4 linked regions of the Caenorhabditis elegans genome follow. The protein of the gene in region 1 purifies or fractionates together with the protein of each later gene. This does not show direct contact. Each region holds a gene or a part of one and is shown in the gene's direction. Other genes may lie near its edges.

Region 1 (9,143 bases):
AGATTTAGTTATTGAAAACTTTCCAAATCCAGTTGGAAAATACAAATTTTTTGTGTTGTGCTAACTTCATGCAAAGGAAAACATAACATGCAGAGAAAAAAATAATTCAAAAAAAATTAACGAAATATACAAAATATTTATTTACAACATAAAATGCATATCACACAAAAATTTACAAATATCATGCAAATATCTCCATGCTTTTTCTTACCATATCATTTTTCACTTCAACATCTGGTGGAATCGTAGCAGTTGCTGGATCAATATCCTCTTCATCTTCTTGCTCAGAAGCCAAACTCCGTTTGGGAATTGGTGCTGCTCTAGCGGTTCGTCTTTTCACTGGGGATAACGGAACAAACTCTTGTTCTGCATTTGGACCGACTGTTGATGGTTCAGCATACCTGATTTGATCGGGAATTCGTTCTCGAGATATGTCAATGTTTTGTGCTGAAATTCGGAGACTTAGTTGCAAAAAATCTTCTGATTTTTAAACCCCTATTTTATACCGAGAAACTATTCGAAATTTTTCTTTAAACTTTTTTTATTGTAAAAAAAACATGTCCTGGGTGGGTCTGGAATTATGACAAAAGGTTAGACCTTGCCTGCCTACTGCCTGCTCTGTTTTTCATTCCGTCATACCAGTTAATTTATTGGAAGTTAATTTGAAAACGTTTCACGTTACCGTTAGCAGCAGCAATGTATGTAGGTATCAGGCAGGCATTTCGTGGCTACTTGAAGGGCCTGACTAAAAACACATACCTTCACATATCCTGAGAATAAGTAGCAGAGCCAATGATATTACTGTTACCGTCGTCAATTGCCTCATTTTTGATTATGCATTAATGTTTTGATCTGGAAGCTGAAATTGATAAGATTATATACTTTTTGAGAAAATGTGATAAAATCAGAAGAAGCAATATTGTAGGGATTCATCGGATAACACGATCAGCTTAAGGACTTTGAGCTTTTATAAATTCAGGATTCTTCTTTTGAAAATATTTGAATATGTTTTGGCACATCCTATTCAAAATGTGCTCAAGGTTTAAGGGGAATGGTAAACAACAGGAAACACAATAATTTCCAATGCATATCCCTTTTTTCAAAAGGAGACACAACTTCTTTCAAAAAGTAGTTTTCGAGATTCTCTAAAAAAAAAATCAAAATCTTGGCAACAAAAAAGTGGAAAATAAGGGGAAGTCAATGGAAAGAAAAAGGGGAAAAAGTGCGTGGAGTTTGAATAGGCGTCCCTCCTTCCGTCCAAAAAAGGGGTGCTCTCACTGGTTGTGTAGAGCTCAAGAAAGGATATAAACGAGATGAAGGGAGAAAAGAGAAAAGAGTCGGATGGAGGAGAGTAATTGGTTTGACACGAGACAACAGACACAGGGGTTCATGTTTCGATGGATAATTATTGGGACCAATGAGTGATTTATTGAATGCTCTGAGGTTGTTGGAGAGAGTGTGTATCTTGAGATAATAAGATAAGGACAGAAAACATTGATGATATCAATCAAATGACTCTTATTAGTCTGATGACCGGTCACTACCTTTTTTTTTTAAATTTTTTTGGGTGTATCACAAACTTTGATCTTTTCACGATGCAAGTACACGATAATTTTGAACTTTGTTTCATTGATAAATGGCACGTATTGTTAGGAAAAGCCGAAATGTGGCAATTTTTCTAATGTGCTGTATTATGAGGAAGAATAGAAAACGCTCAGCCCCCGAACCATGGGTCTCGTTAGGTATTCGGTGGCAAAATTGTAAATTCAAATATTCTCAATTTAATACTGGAAACTGTAACTTTTTTTTGGCAAACCGCGACAGTTCGAGAATACGGTACCTGGTCTCGCCACGAAAATTTTAAAATATTTTTTTGGTTTTTTCGATAAACGTTAATAAAATAATAAGAGACACACAAAATTCATCAAATCGTGAGGAAAACTATGAAGATATTTGAAGTTACAGTACTTTTCAAGGCACACATGTTTTTGAATTTAACAAAAAATTTCGTGTCGAGACCGGTCACCGTTTATTTGAGACAAAAATCACAAAATTATACGCGTCTATAGACCTATAGGTAATATGAATTTTCAGAATTGGCTTCTTGGCGGAAAAAAACTGACTTTTGGAATAACAAGTATTGCGTTTTTGGGATATAATGAATGCACAAAAAGGATAATTTTGCATAAAAGAAAATATAACTAATTTTACAAAAAACCTGTGACCTATAGTGCCAAATCGATAAATTTCCAGACATACATATTGTTGAACAATTTTGTTCATTCAGTATTTTCTTTTAACTTTTCAGCGAATTATCGTTTCAAAGTTGTCATTGATCTATTTTCTAAAAGTATTCATGCAATGTAGTGAAGAATGCCAAATTAAATGAATAGATTTACTCTTTAAATACTGGAATAAACCAATTTTATCTTAATTTTCGGATTCTTCGTAGTTATTTTTCAGGATGAGCATGCAGGTTTGTGATTGTGTCATATTTTCTCATAATATCGAAAATTCTATAAAACTGATAATAAAAAACCGATAAAAGTGCAATAGACCTGCTTGTTTAAACAACAGTAATTCGAATGGCCACTTGTCGAGAATTGCGCCAGCTGCTGCACGGTAAGTGCGTCAGCGAGGGCCTTTGCGTTTTTTCAGTGCAGAATAATTTTATTTTTCTCGCGTATTTTTCTGATTTAAGTCTTCTTTTTTGATACTTTTGTTTGAAACATTACGAAATTTTATAAAATAAATTAATTAAAACAATTTAATCCTTTTGAACACTAATTTACTTCTGAAACAACAGTTTTAAACGACGCTCTTGAATTTCGAAACTCTTGAAAAATTGAAAATCTCAGAAATATTGCAATATTTCGCAATTTCCAGCAACTTGGGCTTGGCAATGACCGCATAAGCGCTAACGAAACACGCTTCCATCGAAACGATTCGAGGAAAGCGTTTCTTGTTGTGTACAGGTCTTGTTATTGTGAGTTTTCATTGATTTTTCCCCAATTCTTTTAAAGACAGGTTTTTTTTTTCAGAATTTGTTGCATATTCTGGTTGAATTTGTTTGGTTTTTCAATTAAATATTCGTCGAAAAATAATCATGAAGAGATCCACTGCTAATGCTCCAAAATTGTCTCCAAAACATGGTAAATTGTTTTAAATAAATCAATAATTAATATTTAAAATTAATTTAATTTCCAGAAAGCGAAAGTGATCCTAAGAAAGTGAAGCTTGAAGAAGAGGCGAAGCCAACCGTTAATCAAGCCCCAACTGGGCGGGAAATTGTTGAAAATTATCTGAAAGGAGATGTAACCGCTGCGGTTTTATATCGGAAAATCTGCAATGCACTGGAAACTTTCGAGCAATGGGAATCTGAAGCTCCGAAAATTCAGCTTTTAGATCAATTTCTGAATATCGCGGACGCCATGGAAGCGAGAACAGAGACACTTGTCAAAAGGCTTTTGGTTAGTTTAAATTTTAATTTTTGCGAAGTTATAAATGAAATTAAAATATATTCATATTTCAGAGTCTCCGATGGGATAAAATTCCTGGATCAGTGATTGAGAGATTCCGTAATTTTCTCTGCGAACTTGCGATCCGTCATCTTTGTTTCACAGAAGAAGTCTATTCTGCCGTCGTTGAACGACTTGTTCCCCAAATTTCAGTAACTGAAGAGACAGGAGTCGTAACTCTAATTCTCACAGAAAAAGTTCAAAATGAGCATTTTGAAATGGCTCATCATATCATTTCAAGTGTTCTCAGATGTTTTCCCCTCTCGGCTAGAGCTCTTCTGAAATGTGTGAAACGAGTTATGCCACATTTTACACGTCCATCTGTCACAGTGGCTGGCTATATGAGAAATCTCATTTTGATGCAGAAATACATTCCAGCAAGTATTTCCAAAGACGTTTGGGAAGCAGTTTTCGAACGGCTAGCTAAAGATGATGTGAGTATTCAAAAATCCTGAATTACTATATTAGGCTCAAATCGATCGAAAATTCTCCTAAATCAACAAAATAGCGTAGAAAACGAATTAAATGTTTTATAAATGGTTATAATTAATTACAAACGCATTTCTGGCCGTTTCTAAACTGAAGATTTTTTTTTCAACTTAAAATTGCTCTAAAAAAATTTTAAAACATTCTCATGACGTCTCATTATGAAATTCGGTTTTTCGATGGCAATTTGAGTCTAATATAGTTTCAGAATTTATAAAAATAACTTACTAAAAGCAAATTTATTACAGACACATAATTGGAAATGCGAGCAAAACGAAGAAATGAGCAAAAGTCCTCGACTATTCGCATTAAATGATGATATTCTAATAGAAGAAGTCGTTGAGGGAAATACAAATGATTCAGAAGATGTTACACCAGAACAATTGGAACAAAGAAAAGGAGAACAAATGATTCAATATTTGGACTCAGTGTGCACGGATGTTATCACATTCATTAGAAGCTCAGTTGATTCTGAAATAGACGAAGAAAATGGAAATGAACGAACAAAATTGAATGACAAATGGCTCAGAAACTTTAAAATCACTGGAGACAAAGTACTACCCAAGGAGAAGCTTTTTGACACATTTCTAGAATGTCTTGAATCGACAATGCTCAATGCAACTCATGTTCAATACGTCTCATTTATTTGGTTGTATTTTTGTTCGTTAAGCCAGGAATACGAGAAGAAAATGTTGGAGCATCTGTGGCAGGTGACCATTCGAATGCCAAGAGCCCCGGCTGATGCGAGAAAAAGTCAGGGAGCTGCTTCGTATTTGGCCGCTTTTTTGGCAAGAGCCAAATATGTCAAGAAGAGGTGAAGAGAGAGATTTTTAAAATTTAAAATATTATCCAGGCTCGAAATTTTAAGATTTTTGCGGCAAGTTTTTGTTAAATGTGAAAAGGTGTGTGCTTTTAAAGATTACTGTAACTTTAAACTTTCGTTGCTTTTTTATAAATCGATTTCTGTCACATTTTTTTGGATCAAAACATTTTTTTACTTTAAAGCTTAACAAATCGAAAAAATACGAAAAATCTGTTTTTAAAAAAATTCCAAAGAAACGAAAAATTTACAGTACTCTTTGAAGACACAAATTTGTTTGCATTTAACGAATATTTGTTTAATTTTTTTCAAAGATCACAAGATATCGTTTCTGAGTGGAGAATGAATGACAGAATATTAAATTAAAAATTATAGAATTTTTTTTTAATTTTAAAAGTGTGAATATGATTTGAAACATGGTTTTTCAAAAAGTATTCAGTAAGAAATTACGTTTTCCGTAAACATGTTTGAAATTACGTAATTTCAATTATTTATAACCAGCCGTGGACCGCACCTACGGCGCGCCTACGACTTTTTGAGAAAACACATTAGATATACGGTGTCTATCGCGGACCTCGATCGATGTCTGCTGCGCACTTAGCATAAGGTTTCCCAAAATTTCGTTGCTCTGATCAAAGATCAAACTACATAGGGATAGAAGGACACGCGCTTTATATAGTAAGTGATTTTTAAATCAATTTTAGAATTTCAGCAATTTTCTTTCGGTTTCACAAGTTTTTTTTGGAAAATAGTCTGAAAATTCGACAAACGATGTTTCAAAGAAAAACTAATGAAACTGTTGTGCAAAATTTTAGATTTTTTAGGAAAACTTAATAATTTTTCAAACGTAAATTCGTAATTACAGTTCTGAGATTTTTGCAGTTAATTTCATAATTTCAGCACTGCATTCACGTGGCTTGAAGAAGTGTACATTTGGCTCCGTCACTACGTTGATCAATTCGGTTCTGGAAGTTCTCAAATCCTTCCCGGACTTCAAAGACATGGAACATTTTACTCGGTTTCTCAAGCATTTTTCCTCGTCTTTGCGTTCAGATATAAGGAATTTGTCAAGAATAAAGGTAATTCTTATTTTAATTTGAAAAAATGATTTATTTACACTAAAATATTATTTCAGATATGCTGGAAACAATCCGTCGCTGGGGAGTTGGAAGAGTTGTGCATTCTCCGTTGGAGCCCCTGAAATACGTGTCAAAACCAGTTGCCAGATGCTTTTCAGCTATAACAAGGTATGACTGAAGTTACAAATCAAAAAAATGAAGTTACGAAGTTACAAATGGAAGCTTTATCACCAGAAAATTGAAATTTCTAATATTTCCTGCTGAAAAAATCACTGAAAAAGTTCCAGATCCTTGCAACTTGTCTACTGTAATCACATCATTCCAATTGAAGAAGTTCAACGACCATTTGATGATATGTTCCCATTTGATTGTTATCATTTGAAAGAGTCAGTTTTTTTCTGAATTTTATTGAGATTTTGCTTCAAAAAATCCTCTAATTCACAAAAATTACTGATAAAATCGGAAAAATCTGCGAAAGAATGAAAAATCCAAATTTCAAAAACGAGATTATTAAATTTTGGCTGAAGTCGTTTGAAAATAAGAGCTCCGCGACCGGTCGCCAGCTTGGAGGGAATTCAGCCGAAATTGAAAAACGCGTTTTTTTTTCGTTTTTCTCTGGTGGTTTTTCTGACTTAGAGACTATTTTGGAGTTTTTTTGAAGCTTAAATTCCCATTCAAACTACTCTACATTTAAGAAATTGAAATAAATCTTTAAATATTTTCAGAAGCAGCAAGTTCATGACTCCATTAATGCGAAAATTCTCTCCATTGGCGGAAGACATGTCTACACTTACAAAAGCATTGTGCTGGAATGCTGCGACGGCTGATAAATCAGAAAAGTCAGCAGAGGCAGTTTCAAGTTCAGAAGGTCTCGATTTCTTGGATGAAGATGATGCTATGATGATGGGTGGATCCTCAGGTAAATTTCGGAAAACAATCGATATGTGTACTTACACTAACTTTTACTTTTAACTTTTTAAAAAAATTTTATATTTTCAAAGCAACAAGTTTTTAAATGTTTGTTTCACTGCTAAATTCTACAATGGTTTCTTTAATTTTGCAAAAAGTATTTAATTGAATAAATTAATTTTAAATTCCCGGATAAACTTTCTGGGTTTTTACTTTTTTTTTCAGAAAATCCTGCAAACCTTAAAGATTGCGCTATAAGTTGTTAAGAACATTTTTTTTAATTTTTCATAAAAGTTTCAGATAAATTGGAAAACAATAAAAAACCAATAAATCTAGCCGGAAAGCGCAAAAATGTCAAAAAAATTATAGAAATTTAGAAACATATCTAAATAAGTTTTGATAGTAAAAATTAAATTTTTTTTTTCCAAATATCTCAATTTTCAGGATACCGCGAACGTACATTCTCCTGTGGACAAAGCTCGCTGATCAACTACTCGGCAACTCCTGGACTACAGACTTTCAACGTCTAAATAAATATCTGTTTTCCATATTTTATTGTTTTGTTGCTGATTTTCTCCATGTTTTCCTTCGTTTTTTTCTGGCATTTTCTTGAGTTACTTTTGTCGTTGATTTACCTCATTAAATTGTATTATATTAATTTTTTTTCCATTTTCATTTTCTCCCCGGGACTTTTACGCGAAAAAATTGTAGAAACTTCCCCGTAAACTTCCGTAGTCATTTTCCCCGATTTTTTTCTTGAATGTCATTCTCCATTCTCTGCTCCAGTCTTATCTTAGTTTCAATTGTTTAATTAAGACTTCCAAATCTATTAATCATTTTCCTTCAACGTTTAATTTAAATTTTTTACCCCGAAAAATCATAAAAATTCAAATGTTAGTCATGATTTGTCAGCTTATTTAGACATACCACTAATAGTAACGCGCGTAATCCCTCATCTTTTGAAAAAAAAAAACTAAAAGTTATGACGCAAAACCAAACTTTTTTAATCAAAAGTGTCAGAAGCAGAACTAAAATTAGAATAGGATTAGTAATTCGGATACAAAAAAAAATACTCTGAGAAAAATCTGAATTATTATGCGTCTTTATACTGGATTACGGTAACTTAACTTATTGAAAATATATTGGTCTTGACACGAGCGAAATTGTTCAGCTACCGTACCCACAGAAGCGTTGTTTCTTTTCGTTTTTGACAAAATTGCAGAGAATTAAAGCGAACAAATTGTATTCTTTTAATTTGAACATTTTGAATAATATTGAAAAGAAATCGCAAAAAAAATTGAGAAATACAAGTGGGTACTGTAGCTGAAAAGTTACGCTCGTGTCGGGACCCATTTTGATCTGAAAATCGCTCCTGTTTTCGCAGTGGATAGTATTTTTTCCCTTATTTACCCATTAAAGTTTCTACATGAAAAAGTTAATCTTTAATGTGCCGATTCACGCAGCTCGTGTACTCCACGAGGAGAAGCGGAGTTTACAGTTTTTGGAAAAATTGTTTAAGTTCATAAACTTTTTGTTGCTAATTTTTGGTTTTTTTTTTTCATTTATTTATTAATGTTATTTCATCAATTTCGTCATAAAAATCATAAAACCAATGGAAAACAAAAAAAAGAACCAAAACTGATTTGAAAAACATTTAAATTCACAATTTTCCTGCTAATACCTAACAAGACCCACAATTCGGGGGTGTAGCATTCTCAATTGGCCGTGGAGCGCGTTTTTACTTCAATTTAAAACAACTGCGTCCCCATAATATGAGAGTTTGGAATCCTAGTCATACTAAATTCTTGTTTATCACTATTTCTCACACCACAATTCAATTCTTTTACCTTTTTTATCCACAAGCATAACATTTCAAATCACACGCATACACAAAGGCACATGTTTCCGTTTTTTTATCCATTCCTTTTTTGAATATTTCTTCCTTCTCTCCCAAATGCCTTCTTTTGACTGAAAATGTCACTTCTCATTCCCCTTTTGCAGAAATCTAATCGGATCACGTCTTCTTCTTCATATTTTTCCCCACTAATAATATTGGGATTAGTTTGATATCAAAAAGATCGTGACGTTTTTTTTTGCTTTCCGGCTGGAATTTCCCAAAATATGAAGACGGAAATAATAAGCAGAGGCAAGTTCATATTTTTGTGGAAAACTTCCGATTTTCACCGAAAAATTTGAATTTTTCGATAAAAAATGAATTGTGATGAATTTGTTCTCCTCGCGAAGTAAACAGCTTTGCAAAAGAGCTGGTTTTGAAATAATAGGCGGTAGGTAGGCAGGAAGGCACGTTCATGGAAGAGTTACCATTCTCGA
Region 2 (9,721 bases), on another chromosome or scaffold:
ACTATGGAGGGGATATATCAAGGGAAAAATGATTTGATTATTAAAAAGGAGGAAACGTTTAAAGCCGAATGGCTTGAAAACCATCTATGGTTATTAGTTTCCAACAGATTATGTTTTAATTAAAGGGGGAAGAAATCATAAATATCTGAAAATGGAATATATTTCTCTAGCTCTAATATATCTATAATGTTTTGAGGGGACATTCACACGTAGAAAGGAGGAACAAAATGGGGGGAAAAGGCAATACACATGAGAATGACACAAGATATGTATATACTGATATAATAATTTTCTCACTAATTACAGTAGTTTCATCAATACCGGCATAACTTCAATTTGACTCTCAATTTCGGCGCGTATGTCGGAAAAGTGTCCCATTTGATTTCGATGCTCGTCAATGTTTCGTTGATGCCAATCCCAACAACGATCAAAAAGAATACGACGTTGGTATGGTTTGAGCACTGCTTTTATCGTATCAATTATAGATTCCATTACTCCATAGACATCCATATCCCATCGATGTAGAAGCTAAAATTTCACGAAATTTACAATACTTTTGTATAGAAAATCATTTACTTACCATCTTCATAGTGCAAATTATATCACCCGCTTCATCTTCGTGATTACGATTCATTCGTGCAACAACACCAATGGGAACAAGCTCCGGTTCCAGGACGTTAAGTGCAACAAATGTGCTCATCGACCATGGATTTGGATATGCTGAAAATGAATATTTATGCTTATATTCTATAATTGAAGTCCAATTTACTCGTAATTTCTTCCATCAAATTGAAAATTGTATTCTTTGACCAAGGCAACACGTGTTTTAAGTTTCTGCACTGTATCAGAGCACACATTGCTCTTGATAACGGTTTTAACTCTTCAGCTTCTTCGGAAGTTACCACGGATAACAAAGACAATCGATGCCAGTGAATCACTTCTGAAACTCCAAAAATTATTATTCACTGAATTGTATGTCAAACCTTCATCATCTTGGATTGTGGTCGGAGAAAACAGAAGGTAGAAAAGTGCAGTCGGAAGTGCATTATGCGCTGTTTTGAAAACTTTCATCAAACTGCTCAAGAAATATTTATTAACACCATGAGCTGGGTCCGACGATCCATTATTCAAGAACAAATTCAATGTCTTTTTCCGCAACTGAAAATATTTAATATTTAAAACTGGAAAATATGTATGTTCTCCTAGATACAAACCTTCATCTCTTCGCGAAGAATTGGCATATTATCTAATTCTTCCAGCTCTCGATCCGTTTCGGGGGTGAAAAGAACAGCACTCAAGTCATCTTTCAGACCACTAACTAGCGCCAAGAGCATGGCAACGATGTCATCAATTTGCTCCAATACAATGTCTTCGTCTGGGCGATTTGTGAACTGATAAATTAATTTTTCAAAATAATCAAGGCATAACGAATAGTACCGCATGAATCATCTTGCCAAGTCCGGCAATCAGAGCACCTGACTCGTACGCCAGTGTCATAAACGATTTCAGACAATCTAGCCTCGCTTTCCATTCATAATTTATCGTCAGGCACCTCACGAGTTTTCCTGAAATTAACAAGAAAGTTTGAGACAAATCGTTGATGTTACTGACCCATATCAAAGAAGGGATCCAATGGTTTAGAACTTGGCGCAATGTCAATGTCTAACAGCCAGCGACGACGAAAAGCTCCACTTCTCATATATGCTCCGATTGTTTGATTCCAGCAGGAAGATGTCATTACCATGCGACTTAGAAGATTGTCTGAATAATTAATTCTACAAGTTAAATATATTTTACCACATACATGGTGTTCTTGTCAATATGTGGATGACGGCATCATAAGGTAGTTTACCGAAACTTCCATACGACGTCTCCACCTCAATCGACAATCTTGTAGTAAGCTTTGAACATACTTCTGGAATTAAAAATGTATGTTGGAGAATACTTGTGATTTTTTTACTGTGCTCATCGAGATGAAATGCTCGTTGATGATTAATAGCATCTGGCGATGAAAAAGGTAATCCATGTGTTTGCTGTGTTCTTCGTCTTTTACGAGAACATCGTTCCTCTGTGGCTGAATCTGTAAATGTAAACTCTGATTGAATGCGTTGAAGTGAAGAAGTACTACTTCTTTTTCTTAGAGACACTGAAGCATTGCGATGATTTTCTAGACTTTGTCTGGAAACTGGACTGTTTTGTGTTGTTCGATCAGCACTCCGCAAATTGTAAGTCCGCCTGGGTGTTGATTTATCCATTTTGGATTCTGAAAATGGCTTGATATTATCAAGTAATAGACCAGAAAGAACTTGACATTAAAAATATTTCACATAAATGATCAAAAACTAAAAAAACAAGAAAAAACAAAAAAAAATGAGGCAAAATATAGGTCACTCGCATTTAGGCGGGAATTCGAATTGATTTGAAATTTGAACACACCCCCACTACAGTACCCATAAAAGTCGTGGCGAGACCCATATGACAAAAGCAATGCGCCTTTAATTCGTTCTTTGGCTTCGATCGATTTTTCGGTTCTTTTCGAACTTTTCTTCACTTTCCTCTTTTTTAATCGATTATTTTGAAGCACTTGTTCATTTAAATTTTATTCCTTATAAATTAAACTGCTGCAGAAACTCAAAATCGTTTCCTTAACTTCATGGCTGTTAAAATCCGCCGTTATTTTCTGAATAATACGTTCGTTTAGTGGGCCGATAACTTCCTGCGGTTTTCTCATCGATTTGTTTGATTAAATTTTATTTGCAAGTTCATAATAAATGTATTTATAACCAATATTTGCGTTTTCGCGATTTTTTCGTATAATATGTCCCAATACTTATTTTGAGTTTGTTTCATGAAAGTTTTCGTATTCCTTTATCATTGGAGAAATAATCAAGTTCAGGCTGTTATCGTCTAGTTTTCATCTAACTCTTCATTTTTCTTTTCCCTCTCTTTTCCCCTCGAATTGTGGCCGAACTGAACAGTGGCTGTCGCTCCTTCTCTTCCATTTCTAATTTTTACTGCTCGCCAACCCCTAAATCTTTTATTTAATAATCAAATACATTTGAATATGTAGTTTTCATTTTATTATAACATTTGTATTAGTTCGAAAAATTATTCATTTAAACTTTCAAGTTTTCAGGCGATGGACTGCGACATAGCGTCGTATCATGTCGATTCATTCGATTTTCTTGTTTCAAAAGGATGTCAATTTGCTGCCCAAGCTGTTCCTGCAGAAAAATTCCGTCTGAAAAACGGCGATGCTGTTACAATGAAGTTCACGTCGGCTCAACTTCATAAGCCAACGCTAGATACCGGAGTAAGTATTTGATCTGCAATCTTAAATATTGAAAATTCTAAAAATCAATTTTCAGGCGAAGCTCACCAGTGACACTCTTCCTTTACTTCCCGCGGAATGTCGACAACGTGGACTGACATATGCTGGAAATTTAAAAGTTGGAATCGATGTCCATGTGAACGGAAGCCGGTTGGACATTATTGAAATTATTTTGGGAAAGGTAATTCTATAAATACTGCGTTGAAAGTAAGAATTGGGTCACCTTCCTTCGAAAAAGTTAAAAGTTAAGAAATAAAATACTTGTTTCGAGGTTAAATTTTCATTTTCTGAATTCTCCAAGCAAATATTAGAAAAAGAAAATACTATACAACAAAATATTTAGGTACCAATTATGCTCCGATCCGAAGGTTGCCATCTCCGTGGAATGTCTCGAAAGGAACTTGTAGTTGCCGGTGAAGAGCCAATCGAAAAAGGAGGATATTTCATTGTAAATGGATCAGAAAAAGTGATTAGATTGCTGATCGCGAATCGAAGAAACTTTCCAATCGCAATTATCAGAAAAACATTCAAAGAGAAAGGAAAATTGTTCTCGGAATTTGGAGTTATGATGAGAAGTGTTAAGGAAAATCATACGGCTGTAATGATGACTCTTCATTATTTGGACACTGGAACTATGCAGTTAGCACTTCAATTCAGACGGGAAATCTTTTATGTACCGTTGATGTATATTGTGAAGGCTTTAACTGATAAGAATGATGCAGTGATTAGTGCTGGATTCAAAAGAGGAAGAAATCAAGATCAATTCTATTCATCTTGCATTCTCAATATGCTTGCTCAATGTCAAGAAGAAGAAATTTTGAATCAAGAAGCCGCCATTAGAGCCATCGGTTCTCGTTTCAGAGTAGCCGTATCTGATAGAGTTGCTCCATGGGAAGATGATCTTGAAGCTGGTCGATTCATCATTCGGGAATGTGTACTTATACATTTGGATAGTGATGAAGAGAAATTCCATACTCTTGCGTACATGACACAGAAACTCATTGCACTTGTGAAAGGAGAATGTGCTCCAGAGACACCTGATAATCCACAATTCCAAGAGGCCTCTGTTTCAGGACATATTCTTTTGTTGATTCTGAGAGAACGAATGGAGAATATCATTGGAATGGTTAGGAGAAAATTGGAGTACATGAGTTCAAGGAAGGACTTCATTTTGACATCGTAAGTTCATTTACCAAAAATGTCCTAGAACTACCGATTTTTTAAAAATTAAGCATTCTGAAAATTTCTCAAAGAAGAATAGGCTATAATCTCAAATTTTGCCAATTTGTTAAAGTTGCCAAAGTACATTTTTATTTGATTATCACTCTTTAATGCATAATTTGGTAATTTATTATGTATTGTTCCGTTGTTTCGGAAGCTTTCTAACTGTAAGTCGACAATTTTGTGCACCCTTAGACGCACCTAAATCTACGTAAATGTACCTAATTCAATGAAACGACGACCAACATATGTATTAAAATATTTATTTGGTAGTTTTGGGTCATAAAAAAGAGCAAAGTCTCAGATTTCGGAGCTCTAACTTTTAAATCTTCCGTTTGGCATAAACATTCTAACTTTCAGCGCCGCTATTCTAAAAGCACTTGGAAATCATACTGGTGGTGAAATCACTCGTGGAATGGCATATTTCCTTGCAACAGGAAATCTTGTGACTCGTGTCGGTCTTGCTCTTCAACAAGAATCTGGTTTCTCAGTTATCGCTGAAAGAATCAATCAACTTCGTTTCGTTTCTCACTTCCGTGCAATTCATCGTGGTGCATTCTTTATGGAAATGCGAACCACAGATGTTAGAAAATTGAGACCAGAAGCATGGGGATTTATTTGTCCTGTACACACTCCTGATGGAGCTCCATGTGGTTTATTGAATCACGTAACTGCATCATGTAGAATTGTCACTGATCTCTCTGATAATTCAAATGTTCCGTCGCTTCTTGCTGAATTGGGAATGTATACACACAAAACTGTTGCATTGGCACCGCCAGGTGAAGAGGTAAAACAATTTATTAAAGTATAAAGCATATTTTAAAAATTTCCTTATATGAAAATAACACTTATTTCAGTTGAAATATTTGAAAAGGGCTCAGAAATAGCCTGGAAGTTGCAAATTGCAGAAAAACGAAGCTCGATAATTGGCAATCTGCAATTTCCAGGCAATTTTTAAGCTTTAAATGAAATAACCTTTAATAACTCTATTTTCAAATTTAAATCATAATTTACAGCTTTATCCAGTTCTAATGAATGGAAGATTCCTTGGATATGTTCCAATTACTAAAGCTGCTTCAATTGAGAGATATCTACGATGTGCAAAAGTTGCGAAAGATGCAAGAATTCCTTATACTTCGGAGGTACTGTTTTTCTAAACTATTTTGAAGAATGAATTATATTTTCTTTTTTTTTCAGATTGCACTTGTTCGTCGATCCACGGATATCAAGAATATTCAAACTCAATATCCAGGAATCTACATTCTCAGTGACGCTGGACGTCTCATTCGTCCAGTACGTAATCTAGCAATGGATGCTGTTGAACATATCGGAACTTTTGAACAAGTTTATCTCTCAGTTGTACTTGATCCAGAAGAGGCTGAACCAGGAGTCACTATGCATCAAGAATTGCATCCTTCTTGCTTATTTTCATTTGCTGGAAATTTAATTCCTTTCCCAGATCATAATCAGTCACCACGGTAAGTTTTCGTTAGAGTTTCCAGTTGTAGTAGTGGAGATTTAGTCTAAAAATATGACTTCAAAAAATTAGATTATTTTTAAATTTGCAAAATTTCTAAAAATTGGGACTTTTGAATCTTGATAGGTGAAAATTGAGTTTTCATCACTTTTTGACTTTAAATAAAAATAATTAAACGTTTTTCCAGTAATGTGTACCAATGTCAAATGGGTAAACAAACGATGGGAACCGCCGTACATGCATGGCATTCACGTGCTGACAACAAAATGTATCGTCTACAATTTCCACAACAACCAATGCTAAAACTGGAGGCTTATGAGAAATACGAAATGGATGAATATCCATTGGGTACAAATGCTTGTGTTGCTGTGATCTCCTATACAGGATATGATATGGAAGATGCTATGACAATCAATAAAGCATCATATCAAAGAGGTTTTGCACATGGAACAGTTATCAAAGTGGAGAGAATTAATTTGGTGACCGAGAGAGAACGAAAAACGATTTTCTATAGAAATCCCCGAGAAGAAATCAAAACCGTTGGACCAGATGGTTTGCCGATTCCAGGAAGACGATATTTCCTCGATGAAGTGTATTATGTCACATTCAATATGGAAACTGGAGATTTCAGAACTCATAAATTCCATTACGCTGAACCGGCATATTGTGGTTTGGTGAGAATTGTTGAACAAGGAGAAGGCGATTCTGGTGCAAAACATGCTTTGATTCAATGGAGAATTGAGAGAAATCCAATTATCGGTGATAAATTCGCTTCGAGACACGGACAAAAAGGAATTAATTCATTCCTATGGCCTGTTGAATCACTTCCATTCTCAGAAACCGGTATGGTACCTGATATTATTTTCAATCCTCACGGTTTCCCATCTCGGATGACAATCGGTATGATGATTGAGAGTATGGCTGGAAAAGCGGCAGCTACGCACGGAGAGAATTATGATGCATCGCCATTTGTTTTCAAGTAAGTTATTCACTGTTTGAAAATTTGAAAATAATTCTAAATCTCTAAAATTATTTTTCAAAATTAATTTTAAAAAATGGGCCGACTAATTTTTGAATTCCCGTGCAAATAAATATCAAATTGAAACACGGCTTGTCAATTTTTCTGACTTTTCCGTTAAAATAAATAATACATTCTTGTGGAAGTATCGATTTTTGGGCCAACTGTTTTTCAGATTCGACGAAGTTTTCTTTACGGAGAATGTCCTGAAAAATAGACTAACAGTGTTTAAAATTATATATTAAAAATAAAAACTGATCAATTTAACCAGTACCTTCAGTTTCGCGGAAATTCGAAAATAATTATTTTTTTGCAAAATAGAAAAATTTAAAAAAATTAGAAAAGTTTTTAACAGTTACAGTTACGTTTTTTCGATTCTTTTTCCATTTAACAATGTTTTGATTTTTCAGTGAAGACAACACAGCAATCAACCATTTTGGAGAATTACTCACAAAAGCAGGTTATAATTACTACGGTAACGAAACATTTTATTCGGGAGTTGATGGACGTCAAATGGAGGTTTATATTAGAATTTATCGTTTGAAAAATTAACATTTTTCATAATTACAGATGCAAATCTTCTTTGGAATTGTTTATTATCAAAGACTTCGTCATATGATTGCTGATAAATTCCAAGTGAGAGCCACTGGACCAATTGATCCAATTACTCATCAACCAGTAAAAGGAAGAAAAAAGGGAGGAGGTATTCGATTTGGAGAAATGGAAAGAGATGCTATTATTGCACATGGAACATCTTTCGTGTTGCAGGTACTTTTATTTCTATGTTTAAAAATAACACCGAAAATTTTTTAGATTTTTCTGTTTTTTTCAGGGAAAAAAACTGAAAAATCGGAAAAAAATGTTCAGAAAACTAAAAAAAAAGTTAATCTTAAAAGAAGAAAATTGGTCAAAGTTTACATCTGTTTTTTTTTTGAAAAATCGAAGTTTTGAACAAAATTGGAAAACTAGTAGTTTTCGATTTTTCAATACTCAAAAAAATCGAAAAAGCGACAACACTAACTTCATTGTACTGATATTTTAATTTCCAGGACCGTCTTCTCAACTGTTCGGATCGTGACGTAGCATACGCTTGTCGTCGTTGTGGATCCCTATTGTCCGTGTTGATGTCCAGTCGTGCAGGATCACATTTATTGAAAAAGAAAAGGAAAGACGACGAACCATTGGACTACACGGAAACTCAACGATGTCGTACGTGTGATAAAGATGATCAAGTTTTCCTGCTTCAAGTTCCTCGTGTCTTCCGTTATTTGACTGCCGAGTTAGCTGCAATGAATGTGAAAATCAAGTTGGGCATCGAACATCCATCCAAAGTAACTGGAAGTTAATTTCATTATTTTTTCAACATTTCCTTCATAATAGAAATACTGAAAACTTCATGCAGTTCTCTAAACTTTGATTTTTAAAAAATTTCTTTTACACTACACTTTAATATTCTCCGTCCCCTATCCTACAACAATCTCACGGTTTTTGTCTATTTTTTGTTATTTTCTCTTTGCAAGTTGTTTTATTGTTGAACCTTTTCTGAAATTTTTGATTTTTAGCCGATTTTAGCAATTTTTGTTACTTTTTTGTTTACCCTCATCCAATTTATTCTGTTTCTATTGTTCACTTTTTGTTTTGTTTTTTGTTTGAGTTTTTGTTCCTCAATATTCCATAAAGTTGTTGTTATACATTTTATATGTTTAAGTAAATCACATTAAGCACTCTGCAACCTTCCCCTCTCTCCACACACTTCTTTGATTTTTTTTGCTAAATTTCCGTTTTTCCGCGCACTGCCTCTTTTTCCACTCTCTCTTTGCTCTTGCTCTGTGCTCTTTCTGCTCCAATAAGCCCCTGGCGGCCATGTTCCCATTTTCCCCGCGCTCCCCCATACCTCTGTGCCTTTCTTTTTCATTTTTTTTTCGTGGGTGAAAACTTCCTAGGTTATGACGTGGCATGTTCAAGGAGCATCGAGAGCTTTTTTTCTGTTTTTATTTTGCGGCAGAAACGTGGAACGGCACGTTTTTGATGTGTAAAAATCATGTCAGCATTTTTTTGAGAACAAAACGGCGATGGAAAAGCGAAAAACGTGTAATTCGAGACGAGAAGCCATAAACCTCTTTTTTGCAGGCTGTTGCCACGGAGAAAGACAAAAATCAGCAGTTTTTTAAACTTTGAAACAACTTAATTTTTCTCTAATTTAGTATAGAAACTTCAGAAAGTTTATAGAAAATAGATTTCCAGATTTTCGAATAGTGTTCCCAAAGATTTGCATCATTCTTCTGAATATCTCGGAGCCCAATTGTATGATGCAAATTCTTTGGAATACGAATTTCGTCATTCTTCCCTTCACTTGCTCAATTTTCGTCAGAATATATTACAAAGACGCGAAATGTTGCGCTTTTCGCGCCAAGGTCTCACCACGACATAATTTTGTTAAATTCGAAATGCACGCACATTTTTGAATTCAACAAAAATATTTCGGGTCGAGACCGGGTACCGTACTTCTGGAGAAAAAGTTCGCGTCTGAGTGATCTTCAATAACCTCGGTTAATATATTCATTCAAAATCAATACCAATACTTTATATTCCAGCAAAAAAAAACTGTTCCCACGATTCAATATCGTTTATATATTTGCTTTTATAATTTTTTTCATTTTTCAAAAAATCGTTC
Region 3 (6,762 bases), 3.2 Mb from region 1:
TTGTATTTTGGCGAAGGGGGCTCGGAAAGCAGAAGCTTCTTGGAGGAACACAAACTTGTTTTTTTTTCAGGCGAATGGGGAAGACGAAGCAAAGATGACGGATTTCAGCAGCTTATTTTCGTGGAAAAATACTCTAGAATTGTTAAGCTCGAGCTTAGAGCAGCCACATCATTTACTAGACATTTGGCCGAAAACTCTTTGAATACGTTAGTGGCGAAAATTAGGATTCAACGGTGTTTTTTTTCAGAGAAAATTAAGAAATCTTTTAAAAAAAGGTCGGTTTGTTGGTTTCAATAAGATCTTTTCAAAAATAGAGACGTACAGAAAAAATTAAAACCAAGTGGTTTTTATAAAATTCCTTAATACGTGTTTGTAAAATTCGTTAAAAAGTAACGAGAATCGAAAAGTCCACCCGGATTCAGTCAAAATTACAATGAAACGTGCTTTGTGGCACTTTCAGGAAGGCGCAATGGGTCTCGCCACGCGAAATCCAATTTTAAAAAATTAAAGCTACAGTAATTTTAAAGGCGCATACATATATTATCATATTGGGATTTCTTCACTTTAAATTTTAAATTTTAAAAAATGTTTTGATAAACCAGTGAAAAAAAAATTTTGACTAAATTTTTTTGAAAATTTAAAATTTAAATGGTTTCTACCAGGGGTGGGCGGCAAACGATTTTTTCCGGCAAATCGGCACTTTGCCGGAATTGAAAATTTGCGAGAAATAGGAAAACCGGCAATTTGCCGGAATCGAAAATTTCCGGCAATTTGCCATTTGGGGAACGGCAATTGCCGCCCACCCCTGGCTTGTAGCCACGAGGCAGTGCGAATATATATATGCTTGAATGTGCTTATTTTCGATGAAATAACTCTATTTTCGGTTCTTTTTTTTTACTATTTTAAGTCAATTAGATCCGCATCTCCAAAAAAAGTAACGAATAATTTAATTTTCCACGTCATCAATGGGAAAATGACAACAAATGAATTTTTGATGAGCTTTTTTTCTCCATTTTTGTGCCGCAACACTCACAACTCGTACGAGTGGCCAATGTTTAACGACCCGGCAGTAAAAAAGAGTAGAAGAACCGAGTTAATTCGCTTTTTTGTCCACGTTTTTTCTGTTCTCTCTTGTTAGAATCGAATGATCTACTTTTCGATATTTTTACCAAAAATGTTTTGAAATTTCGTGTTCAGTTGGCGCAATGAGTAGTGTGCACAGTTTGGTGTGAAAACTTTTTGGTTAAACTCCGGGTAGTGTTTTTTAATTTTTTTTCGTTAAATTTTTATTAGGAATTTTTCGAACTAAAAACGAAGTTTTGTCAGCTTTTAGCTCTTTAAGAAAATCAGAATAGCCACTCACCCCATTCGACGTTGGCACGCCACGACGAATCGGACAACACGTCGACAAAATCCGGAATACTGGCGAGCAGACGATTGCTCCGGTCGCCCACATGGTTGAATAATTGATTGTGGCGGTATCAGTGAGAAAATGTTATCAGTGAAATAAAAAAACGGGGAAAAATAGTTAAAATAGTGAGTTTCTAGGGTGTTTTCTCGCTACATAGTACGAAAATCGTGAATAATATAATTAAATTTCAGATTTTTCGAATTTTTTTGTCTGAAAAAATTTTGGAGCACAAAAATGTTCTTTCCTGTCGTTTTTCCATTCAAAAGCGCGGCTCCTCCCTCCTAAACGACCCGAAGGAGGCGGAGCAGTCTTGGTGTGGGTCTCGCCGCGACTTTGACACACGTGAAACGAGTGTGACCGTACCCGAGTGGCGGAGTGTTCTGCAAAAATTGCGTTTTTCTTCCTTTTGGCCTATTTTTCGATGGATTTTTGTGTTTTTTGTTGTTAAAAATTCGAAAATAAATGAATTTTTTGTTGGAAATCAAAATTTCGTGCATTTTCTCACCAAAAACGTCAACATTTTGCTAAAATCGCCCGTATTTTCTGCCTCTTGGCCGAAAATCAAGTTTTTCGATCTATTTTCCATATTTTTGCAAGGAAAACGATTGTTTCCGTAATTATAAGTAGCAGAATTAAATTAGAAGTTTTGTAACTAGTTCTTCTGGAAAGATTTCGAAAAATAACGAAATTTTACGGAAAATGCTGTTGTTGCTTTAATTATCGATTTTTTGACGCATTTCGCTTTTTTTCTCACCGTCTTCTTGTTTTCCGCTTTTTTCCTCCGTTTACAGCTTTTTCGAAACATTTTGCATTCTGAGATGTTAATTTTGTTTCCATTTCAGCTCTCGACAATGGGTTTCCAAAATTTGTGGTTCTCTCACCCACGCAAGTTCGGACCAGGATCCCGCTCCTGGTAAGTATTATTTTCATCAAAAATTTCGAATGCAGATGTCCATTACGAAAAGGCTCTTTACCTTTTGACGTTTAGTTAAATTTGCGAAATAAAATTGATGTCTCGAAGACATGTGCTTCATATTTTGATGCTCATGTTCAAGATCAGCAAACAAACCTGAACTTGGTGTATTTCAAATACATTTATCTGAATTTTTCAGCCGCGTCTGCGCTGGACACCACGGACTTATCCGCAAGTACGGCCTCGATCTCTGCCGTAGATGCTTCCGCGAGCAAGCCAGAGACATCGGATTCAAGAAGGTAAATTTAACTAGATTATGCAAAAAAGGAACCTTATCCAACTAAAATAATATTTAAAAGTTCAAGTAGGATGAGCAGATGTCCATTACGCGAATGCCTGTGCTTTTCGACGTTTAGTTTAGTCTGCAAGATAGAATTGATGTCTCGAAGACAGGTACATCAGCTTTTAGAGTTCCTGTTCAAGATCAGCAAACAAACCTGAACTTACTGCAAATATACTTTAAAATAAATAAGTATTTTATTATCTGTCAACTTATTTTTTTTTCAGCTTGATTGAGCAACCAGCGTCCACGTCTGCAACCGCCTCGTCAAATCTTGTTATTGTTAACTTCATGTCTTCAATCAATAAATTGTTGGCATAATGTCTATGTTATAATTTTATGTGAATAATAAAACAAACGGTTCAAATCTGGAGGAGGACTACTTTTTTATTGGGGAAGGGATAGTAGAAACCGTTCAATTGTAGCAGATGGATCCAGTAGAAGCAGGTGATTGGATAGCCGGTCGGCCACTTCAACTTGTCTTCCTGTCGGGATTAAATCCAGTGAATAAGCCAGCTCACAACAGTATCGTCAATGTCTTCCGGTACATTGAAACATGAAGAACTTCCTCAAACGCCAAAAATAATTTAGAAACCGCACAGCCGACAAACCACCACTTCATATTCGCGTAGTTTCCGGAGAATTGGATATTCCACCGAAACGGGAGACTGGGTCAGGAAAAGGTGCCAGAAACTGACAAAATATCGATTAAAAACGTCGATTTTCCAGGAATTCTCCGCCGTGAGTGGCCTCAAAAGTATCTGGATAAGGTACCGGCACTGATTGTCGTGTTCATTGATTTAGAATGGGATCATCCATCTTGGGAAGAGAAGAAGACTGAAGCAGAGAGCAAAGTTGCAAGTATAAGAGGATCGCTGCGTCATGGGACGAAAATTGCGCTCGTTTTGATTCAGCAAAAGTGAGGAAATGCTGAAAAAAAACGGTCATTTCCATGAAATTTCCGTAAAAAGTGACTAAATATGCCGATTTCCGTGTTATTTTTTCATGAAAAATGGTGATTTGATTGTAATTTTCCATTAAAAACTACAGAAACTGGCAATTTTCGTAGAATTTTGTGGAAAAATGACCGAAAAGGGTGATTTTCGTGTAATTTTCCTGTAAATACGCCCGAAAAAGCTGAGCATGACTATTTCCATGCGATTTTTCATAAAAATGACTAAAAGTTTTGATTTTATTGTAGTTTTCAATTAAAATGACAGGAAATTGCAATTTTCATAGAATTTCGTTGAAAAATGACAAAAATTTCCATTTTTCATGCGAATTTTTCATGAAAACTGACTAAAGTTGCTTTTTTCTGTGAATTTTTCTGTAAAAACGCCCGAAAAAGCTTTTTTAATGAAAAATTTCTAAAAAGTGTGATTTGTTTATAATTTTGTTAGAAAAACCACAAAAAAAAATCGAAATTTTCAAAAAAACTTTTTTTTTTGAAAAAAGCTTGAGAGCTAGAAATCAAAAAGAAATTATAGAAAAGCTGCGAAGAAACTCTTTTTAAAAAATTAAATTGTTCACAAAAAAAATCACAGAAAGCTGTGAGAAATCCCTTAATTTCAACAATTTTCCAGATCAACAAGCATCAGTGACAATCTGGCAGCAGACAGAGCTCACGAACTTTGCCAAGCATGTTCCCTCTCGTCAAAACAACTTTTCATACTTCCCGCGGACAATTTATTGGCTCCGAATACCACAAATCTGCAGAATTTCGCGTTAAAACTCGAGCTAGCATTCCATGAACTGTGCCAAGCATTCTATCAACAAAGATTGAAAACTATTCGATCTAGAAATATTCCGAATAACTCGCCGGCGTTAGTCGTACGACAACAATTCAAATTGGCGTTTCTGTCAGAACTCAGACAGGATACTCATACAGCATTGAGAAATTATCGATTGGCTTATGATCAATGTCGGGATACAGTTGAACAATGGGATGGAGTCGATGTTTTTGAGTGGAGAAGTGTTGTTGGATTGCTTAATTATAAGGTACAGCAGGGATTGCTGAAAACCAAGAATTCCGTTATTAGTACTAGGGGTGTCCGATTGCCGGAAATTTTGAAAACCGGCAATGGCCGAAATTGCCGATTGACGCAAATATAAATTTGATACTTTTTGTAGTTTTAGGAGCTTAAACATGCATTTTACTGAACAATGTTCTCTTTTTAAGCTCAAAATGGCTTAATCCTTTAAGGGTTGCAAAAGGTGAAATTTTTTCAAATTCCGATTTATATTTATTTTCGAAAATTGCCGCGCACCCCTGAGCTGAATTCAGTGTATTTTTTCGAAACTTTGAACCCATTTTGGGTTTATTCGTTCAAAATCGTCCGAACCGTTAATTCTCGTTCAAAAAATCACATCAACAACAAAATATATGCTTTAAATAAAACATAACATAATTATTATTATTTTAATTGCAATTAAATTTTCAGATGTGCGAATTATGTTTCCTCCACAGTACGGCACTCGAAGCAATCAATCAAATGCGACGTCACACGACAGTATTCTTCTCTTCATCACCGGGAATCTATCCAACACCACATCTTGCTTCAATTGAACTTTTGCTCTGGAAATCCAAGCAATGTTATCAATTTGCACATTTATTCGAGAGATCAGTTGCCGGCGGACTATCGGCACTTGCCACTTTGAATCCTGGAACACATTTGGATCAAGCTGCTAGTATTTATTCCGCTGCGAATACTGAAATTGCTGCGTTGAAGAGAAGTGAGGTTTAGCACGAATTGTTGATACTTCTGAAAAGATGTACCAAATTTTAGTTCTAATTTGAAATTTTTATAATGGTGAAGCCTTTAAAAATATAAAATTTTGAAAAATGTGTTTTTATTCTACTAAACGGAAATTTACAAAATCAGACAATCAATTACCGTTCGCCACATTTTTTTGTCAACAAATTCCGCAAATTGTCAATTTGCCGATTTGCCGGATATCAGATTTGCCGGAAATGTTTAGAGGGATTTTTTAAAAAGACGGAAACACTTAAAACTGTGCCTTTTTGAAATTGTTTTCCCGTTTATTTTCTAATTTCCAGATGCTCCACAAAATGTGCCATACCCATCCCCAGATCCATTGGCAAACTCTTCCAGTACTGTATTTTTCGGCCAACGTCCATGGAGAATAAATCATGAAGGATTGGCAACTGCAGAAGTTGAAGCTGCTGCAGTTACAGCAATTATTCAAAGGCTTGTAGTCAATCATGAAGGTGTAATTTCATTGTTATCAGCTGCATTGGCTCAATATCAGAAATATGGATGTTTGAGAATGAAGAAGAAGGTTATGATGGAGGTAATTACAGTTTGAATCATTTTCCGGCAAATCGGCAAACCGGCAATCTGGTTTTGCACATTCTTTTGGAAGTTTTAATTTCAATTTTTGAGCGGCAAAATTGCACGCATCCTGGCAATTTGCCGAAAATGAAAAATTCCGGCAAACCGACAAGTTGCCTGAATTAAAAAGTTCCGGCAAATCGACAAACCGGTAATTCCCACCTACACCTGTTTTGATACGGCAAATTGTTGTCAAAGGCAAAAATATGTACTGTAATTCTATTAGGACTGTAATTTTATTGTTCTGATATTTCCAAATTCTATGAAATTCCAGATGGCTAACACATGCTACGCAAACAACGAAATCCAGCGGGCTCTGCGGTTCTGGGGACTCGTAGTAAAAGATAATGCTCTACCGTACTCTATTCGTAAGGATATGATGCATCGTGCCACGTGGGCCGCCTACGCAATCACCAGTATTCAAGACTACGCAGTATGCTGTATGCAGTTAATGTGTCCCGCATATTCAGAAGTTCTTCCCTCGGATTGTGTTAAAGGCCTTTTAGATGTTCTCGACGGAAAACCACCTGGATCACCGTTTCCAAACGATGATATCTCACAAGAGCAGGTAAATCCCCACCCGGAAACCGGATATTAAAACACAATAAATGCGCATTCTTTTGTGTTTGTTATCCAAAAATAATTTTCAATATCCGGCGCTGTACTGGCTATCCGGCTATTAAGCACAATGCACATATATGTGCATAAACAACCTTGTCCACTCCTGCAAGAGAACAAAAGTTCG
Region 4 (5,191 bases), on another chromosome or scaffold:
AAAAGAAGAAGAAAAACAAGAAGTGATACAAGAAGAACCTATGGAAAATCTTCTGACACGTTGTTTCCTAGCTGGCTTAAAACATAGATTCACTCGAAATCAACTCCCAATGGATGTTGGACAATTCTATACGCAATGTGTTCTCTCTTGTGTTCCAGATGGCCGACGATTGGATATGAAAAAGACACATTTCAAGAAATTCGCTACGTTTCTTCAAGAAATAAATGAACTAGAAAGTGAGTGGATCATCAAGATTACGCCGAGTAAAGAGAAAAAAGGAGCTGATATCGTAGCTGATGTGAACTTTTCCAACAAATTATTCCGCGATTTTGAAGTAACTGATGAACGAATTGTTGATGAAGCTCCAGCGGAGAAGGCCAAGTTTGATGCTCCCGTGATAGCTGAATATTTTGCAATTACCGAACCAACGCTGAAGTTGTTCCCTGGCTGCTCAAAAGGGGATCTTCTGACTGTGAAACAAATCAAAGAATTTGTCACAAAATATGTAAATGAAAACGTAAGTCTCCTTATAATTCTTATTCAGTTATAATTGTCACCAGCCGTGGACCGCACCTACGGCGCGGCCCCCGACTTTTTTGAGAAAACACATTAGATATACGGAGTCTATCGCGGACCTCGATCGATGTCTGCTGCGCATTTAGCATAAGGTTTCCCAAAATTTCGTTGCTCTGATCAGAGATCAAACTACATAGGGACAGAAGGACACGCGCTTTATATATAGTAAATGATGTTTTTAGAAACTTGCTGCTGGAGGATCAGTTCGTCTTGATCCAATTATCTTTTCGGTCACTAAAATCCAAACGGATACAACTCCATGGGCAAATTTGATGAAAGAAATCCATTCAAGAATGACTGCAACATGGCACATAAGATGGCCTGACGGCAGAGAAATAGTCAGAAAAGTATCTCCACCGAGAGTTGAATTCAAGATCGAAAACCGTGCTGGAAACAAAAAAGTTACTCTTTTAAATGGATTAGCGATGTTTGGAATTGACATTCGAACGATTTGCCATCAAATTCAGGTAGTTGGTGGCTAATCCTTAAATACTAATTTCTGAATTTTCAGACTGGTGTGGCTACTAGTGTTACAAGTCAATGGGAAGTTCCTGGCGTCGAAGGTCCTCAAGTACTCGTTCAAGGAAATCAAATTCATTTTATCGCTGATCTTCTGATAAAATCGTATGGAATCGACAAGAAATTTATGAAAGGAACCGAGTTGGCGGTGAAAAAGAAGAAATAAGAAAATTTGGAGAAATTTGCAAATTCAAATAGTATTAAATCTGTTCAATGTATTCCCTCACACCTTAATTTTTTTGTTTTGAAATTCGGTCTTTCTTTATTTATTAAATACCCGTGTGTTTCTAAGTATGGGTTGTATTCGTATTTTCGGTTCCATAAAGATTCATGAAGAACTTTCTCTTATCGTTTTGAACATATCCGCTTGGTGAATTATCAGTGCCAATTTAAATATTACACATACGCGAACATTTTCGATTTTCGGGCAGAAAAAAAAGGTATTAGGTCTCGCCACGCTTTTTTTGTGAGATAAAAACGAGGGTGTGCCTTTAAAGAGTACTGTAAGTGTCGAGACCTGGTGCCGCATTTTGGACCCAAGATTTCGCGTCTGGGGGATAAATTGTTCTAAATTTTTAAGATGTTAATCCATTTTCAGATTAAATCAAAATGCCTTCAAAATACATGCAATTGGCGAAGGAAATCATCAAAAATTATGGAACCAAGGGTCAATTCGGATGTGTTTCCGGAGCAGGAAATGTGAGAGCAGTTCATGCGGAGGAAGGAAATCTACGAGTGGAATTTGAAGTTGAGAAAGATCAGTCAAACCATTTTAACACTCTTCACGGTGGATGTACATCTACGCTCATTGATATTTTCACTACTGGGGCTCTTCTTCTCACAAAACCAGCTAGGCCAGGAGTATCTGTTGATTTGCATGTTACGTACGTAAAGAGAGAAGAAAATTGTCGAATTTGATAGATTTTTAGATACCTGACCGCCGCTAAAATTGGTGAGACCCTTGTGCTCGACTCCACCGTCATCAAACAAGGAAAAACTCTTGCATTCACAAAGGTAAACTTTAAGAAAAGTTTTAAAAATATTATTTTTTTCCAGGCAGAACTCTACCGTAAAAGTGATAATGTAATGATTGCAACTGGAGTACATACCAAAGCATTCCCAACTGTGAAGAAAGCAAACTAATCAATATATTCCAAGACATGGAAATTTGCGATCCGTGCGCCAAAAATACGGTATCCGGTCTCGACACAAAATGTTTTGGTTAAATGAAAAAAGGTGTGCTTCTTTGATGAGTACTGTAATTTTAGACTCTCGTTGTTGTTGAAATTTCATTGATTTTTCAACAATTTCCCATCAATTTTCGATAAAAAAAACATTTATTAATTTATTTTAAAACTCCCATACATCAATTAAAACTTTTTTTTTTCAGAAAATCGCGAAAAAAAATCAAGAGTTGGAATTTCCAGTAAACTTTAATGGCGCACACACCTTTTCCCGTTATAAAAAAAGTTTTCGTGTCGAGACCGGCTACCGTGATTTCTGCCCAAAAATCGCAAAATTTCGTGTCTGGAATACCTCCTAAACATAATTCCTAGACACAATTTCTAATTTGATCGTTTTGAAAAACATTTCCCTTGTGTACAAAACTATTATTCCGCAATAAAATTGTAAAGAATTCTTGTTTTTTTTCCAATTTTCCATAAATACTCGTTTTAATCCGAGTACTCTGTACATGTTTTGATGGTAAGAGAATCCACGCAAGTCTACGTGGTTATGAGATTTTTGTTTTGAAACAAATATTTTTAAATCATATATTTTTTCTAAGATTGCTTGAAAATGGCATCAAAATACATGCAAATTGCGAAGGAAGTGATCAAAATGTTCGGGACAAAAGGACAATTCGGTTATGCGGCTGGAGCACGGAATGTGAGAGCAGTTCATGCGGAGGAAGGAAATCTACGAGTGGAATTCGAAGTTGAAAAGGATCAGACAAATCAATTCGAGACACTTCATGGTGGATGTACAGCAGCACTTATCGATTGTTTCACAACTGGTGCTCTTCTACTCACAAAGGAAGCGAGGCCTGGTGTTTCAGTGGATTTGCATATTACGTGAGTATCTATATCTAAATAGAGGTTTCCTAGATTATGCAATGATTTGAAACATATAAGTCTTGCGAACAAGTGCAATATTTAAGCCAAAATTCAGTGTGGGGTCCCACCACGACCGAAATGTTCTCAGCTACGGTACCAACGAACTTTTTCTAATGTTTTCTAATTTTTCCATTCCAACCTTTAATTTAAAACTACAGATTTATTGCAAAACCAACAAAAAAGAGAAATCTACCGTACTCACGAGTACGGTAACTGAAAAGTTTCGCTCATTCTAGTACCCCCATACCTATATTTTAGCTTTATAATCGTTCATTTTCGTAAACTAATAATGCCAGAAATTCAGGAGAAAATATTTATGATCATCGTAACTTCCAGATACTTGACAGCTGCAAACATCGGAGAAACTCTTGTACTCAACTCTACTGTCATCAAACAGGGGCGCTCTCTTGGATTCACTAAGGTATCATATTTTTTTATTCTTGAATATTTCTGATTACAAAAGTGTTTTATTTCAGGCAGAACTCTATCGTAAAAGGGACAATGCAATGATTGCTACTGGAGTCCACACCAAGGCGTTCCCAAAGTGATCGCTCACCATAAAATAAATAATGTTATATGCAAATTAAACTAGAATTATTTTACCATGTATTCCATTTCATTTCAGAAAATAAATATCTTTATCAATATATGTGTTTGTTTGCCATTAAAAAACACAAATATCGGAAGTGAGAGATCATTTGTTGTAAGGATAATGTGTTTTAAAGGCTCCGTATCACACGCCAACGCTCTGAGTTGATGCTCAGTGAAATACCAAAAGTGACGAAGAAGCTCAAAATTCATATTTTTTGGATGCAAATCATAGAAAGAAGTCTTATAAAAAATTCCATTAAAAAATTCCGAACATATCTTGCTGCGGTTATGTTGGAGGCAAGAAAAAAAAAAGAAATCATAATCGCCTTCGATCACTTTTTTTATACACATTGTTTATCATGAAAACTTATTCCAAAACAAGATACCAAAATTCACCACAAATATTCTAAAATTTTCAATTGCCTTATAACCAATGATGGCTGTTTCGAGAAGTTTGTACTTTTGAAGAATCCAATTTCAAGTTCCTCTTTTCCTTCGTCTAGATCCCGAGACACTTTCCACGTCGTTGGTGTTTTCTGGCAACTCTCATTTTTCAGTAAAATCAATAATTCGGGAATTGGAAAACTAATGACAATGTTGTACATTTCAATCCAAGAAATGGAGCCCAATTTCCAATTCTGAAATTCGAATAAATGGAGTGATTAATCAAATTCCACAGAAACATACTTTTAGGAAGGTAGATATATCTGAACTTCTGAGACGATTTTGCCCAATTTCCAACCAATCTCCTCTGAACTTTCTGAAGTGATCTCCCGAAAGTGGGTGGTAGAAGTTTCTAGATTCCTGATTTCCAATCGTTAATCGAGTTAACTTCAAAATAAAATTGGTAAAACTATTGAAATTTCCTTTCAATACAAACCTTCTCAACATGAAGTTCATTGAAAAAATCCTCAGGAACTCTGAATCTCCAGTCAACAATTAGTTCTGCACACACCAAACTTGCCATGCAATTTTCCAATTTTGTGACGTCACACTCAACTTTTGAGCTTCCCAATTTCAAACAATCAATTCTAGTGAAATTTGTTTTTTGAATAACTTTTTGAAGAAATTCAATAGGTTCATCTTCACTTCCATTCTGGAGAAGTAACATTGAATATTTGATTTCTTGAAACTTTAATTATACTCACCATCTCTAGCCAAAGTAAATCCACTTTAGCACCACGAAGATATTTATCCATGTCATCATGATTGATAGTGTTGATTTCATTCGAGTTTGCTAATGTGAAACTTATCTTTTCCTAAATTTGAAGTCAAAACATCAATCAACATGACAATGTACTTACAGGAGTAACAAACATCTGACGAATCGGGATGGGCAACATGTACCTTTGGTACAACTGAATAAAATGTTGTACTCTTTTAGAGACAGT

Evidence for each region.
Region 2: the proteins of tif-1A (region 1) and rpoa-2 fractionate together in Caenorhabditis elegans (co-fractionation; one large-scale study listed by BioGRID). This does not show direct contact.
Region 3: the proteins of tif-1A (region 1) and trpp-11 fractionate together in Caenorhabditis elegans (co-fractionation; one large-scale study listed by BioGRID). This does not show direct contact.
Region 4: the proteins of tif-1A (region 1) and C25H3.14 fractionate together in Caenorhabditis elegans (co-fractionation; one large-scale study listed by BioGRID). This does not show direct contact.

Annotation. Positions count from the first base shown.
Region 1 is NC_003281.10:3,997,858-4,007,000, reverse strand, and holds tif-1A (RNA polymerase I-specific transcription initiation factor tif-1A), read left to right. Parts: upstream 1-2,886; 5' UTR 2,887-2,986; intron 2,987-3,041; 5' UTR 3,042-3,106; coding exon 3,107-3,152; intron 3,153-3,207; coding exon 3,208-3,470; intron 3,471-3,532; coding exon 3,533-3,952; intron 3,953-4,252; coding exon 4,253-4,818; intron 4,819-5,724; coding exon 5,725-5,903; intron 5,904-5,959; coding exon 5,960-6,071; intron 6,072-6,190; coding exon 6,191-6,289; intron 6,290-6,628; coding exon 6,629-6,822; intron 6,823-7,256; coding exon 7,257-7,342; 3' UTR 7,343-7,715; downstream 7,716-9,143. Other genes in the region: pxd-1 (PSI domain-containing protein), read right to left, coding at 212-447, 760-826. UniProt on the Caenorhabditis elegans protein: Required for efficient transcription initiation by RNA polymerase I (Pol I).
Region 2 is NC_003279.8:9,279,981-9,289,701, reverse strand, and holds rpoa-2 (DNA-directed RNA polymerase I subunit RPA2 homolog), read left to right. Parts: upstream 1-3,125; 5' UTR 3,126-3,139; coding exon 3,140-3,313; intron 3,314-3,368; coding exon 3,369-3,512; intron 3,513-3,674; coding exon 3,675-4,510; intron 4,511-4,912; coding exon 4,913-5,339; intron 5,340-5,568; coding exon 5,569-5,694; intron 5,695-5,749; coding exon 5,750-6,030; intron 6,031-6,216; coding exon 6,217-7,008; intron 7,009-7,457; coding exon 7,458-7,566; intron 7,567-7,617; coding exon 7,618-7,815; intron 7,816-8,096; coding exon 8,097-8,393; 3' UTR 8,394-8,779; downstream 8,780-9,721. Other genes in the region: prom-1 (FBXO47 ARM repeats region domain-containing protein), read right to left, coding at 301-528, 581-720, 770-940, 984-1,158, 1,215-1,391, 1,438-1,565, 1,612-1,761, 1,805-1,915 and 2 more. UniProt on the Caenorhabditis elegans protein: DNA-dependent RNA polymerase catalyzes the transcription of DNA into RNA using the four ribonucleoside triphosphates as substrates. Second largest core component of RNA polymerase I which synthesizes ribosomal RNA precursors.
Region 3 is NC_003281.10:792,047-798,808, forward strand, and holds the start of trpp-11 (Trafficking protein particle complex subunit 11 domain-containing protein), read left to right. Parts: upstream 1-3,089; 5' UTR 3,090-3,092; coding exon 3,093-3,208; intron 3,209-3,255; coding exon 3,256-3,347; intron 3,348-3,393; coding exon 3,394-3,583; intron 3,584-4,247; coding exon 4,248-4,662; intron 4,663-5,105; coding exon 5,106-5,397; intron 5,398-5,722; coding exon 5,723-5,976; intron 5,977-6,291; coding exon 6,292-6,585; intron 6,586-6,762. Other genes in the region: snt-2 (Synaptotagmin 2), read right to left, coding at 1,364-1,456; rps-29 (Small ribosomal subunit protein uS14), read left to right, coding at 2,263-2,324, 2,524-2,623, 2,892-2,900.
Region 4 is NC_003280.10:5,692,502-5,697,692, forward strand, and holds C25H3.14 (Acyl-coenzyme A thioesterase 13), read left to right. Parts: upstream 1-2,881; 5' UTR 2,882-2,892; coding exon 2,893-3,167; intron 3,168-3,545; coding exon 3,546-3,630; intron 3,631-3,685; coding exon 3,686-3,757; 3' UTR 3,758-3,857; downstream 3,858-5,191. Other genes in the region: eif-2D (SUI1 domain-containing protein), read left to right, coding at 1-517, 759-1,043, 1,088-1,261; C25H3.3 (Acyl-coenzyme A thioesterase 13), read left to right, coding at 1,705-1,979, 2,025-2,109, 2,152-2,238; C25H3.10 (F-box domain-containing protein), read right to left, coding at 4,193-4,438, 4,488-4,631, 4,681-4,896, 4,949-5,059, 5,105-5,191.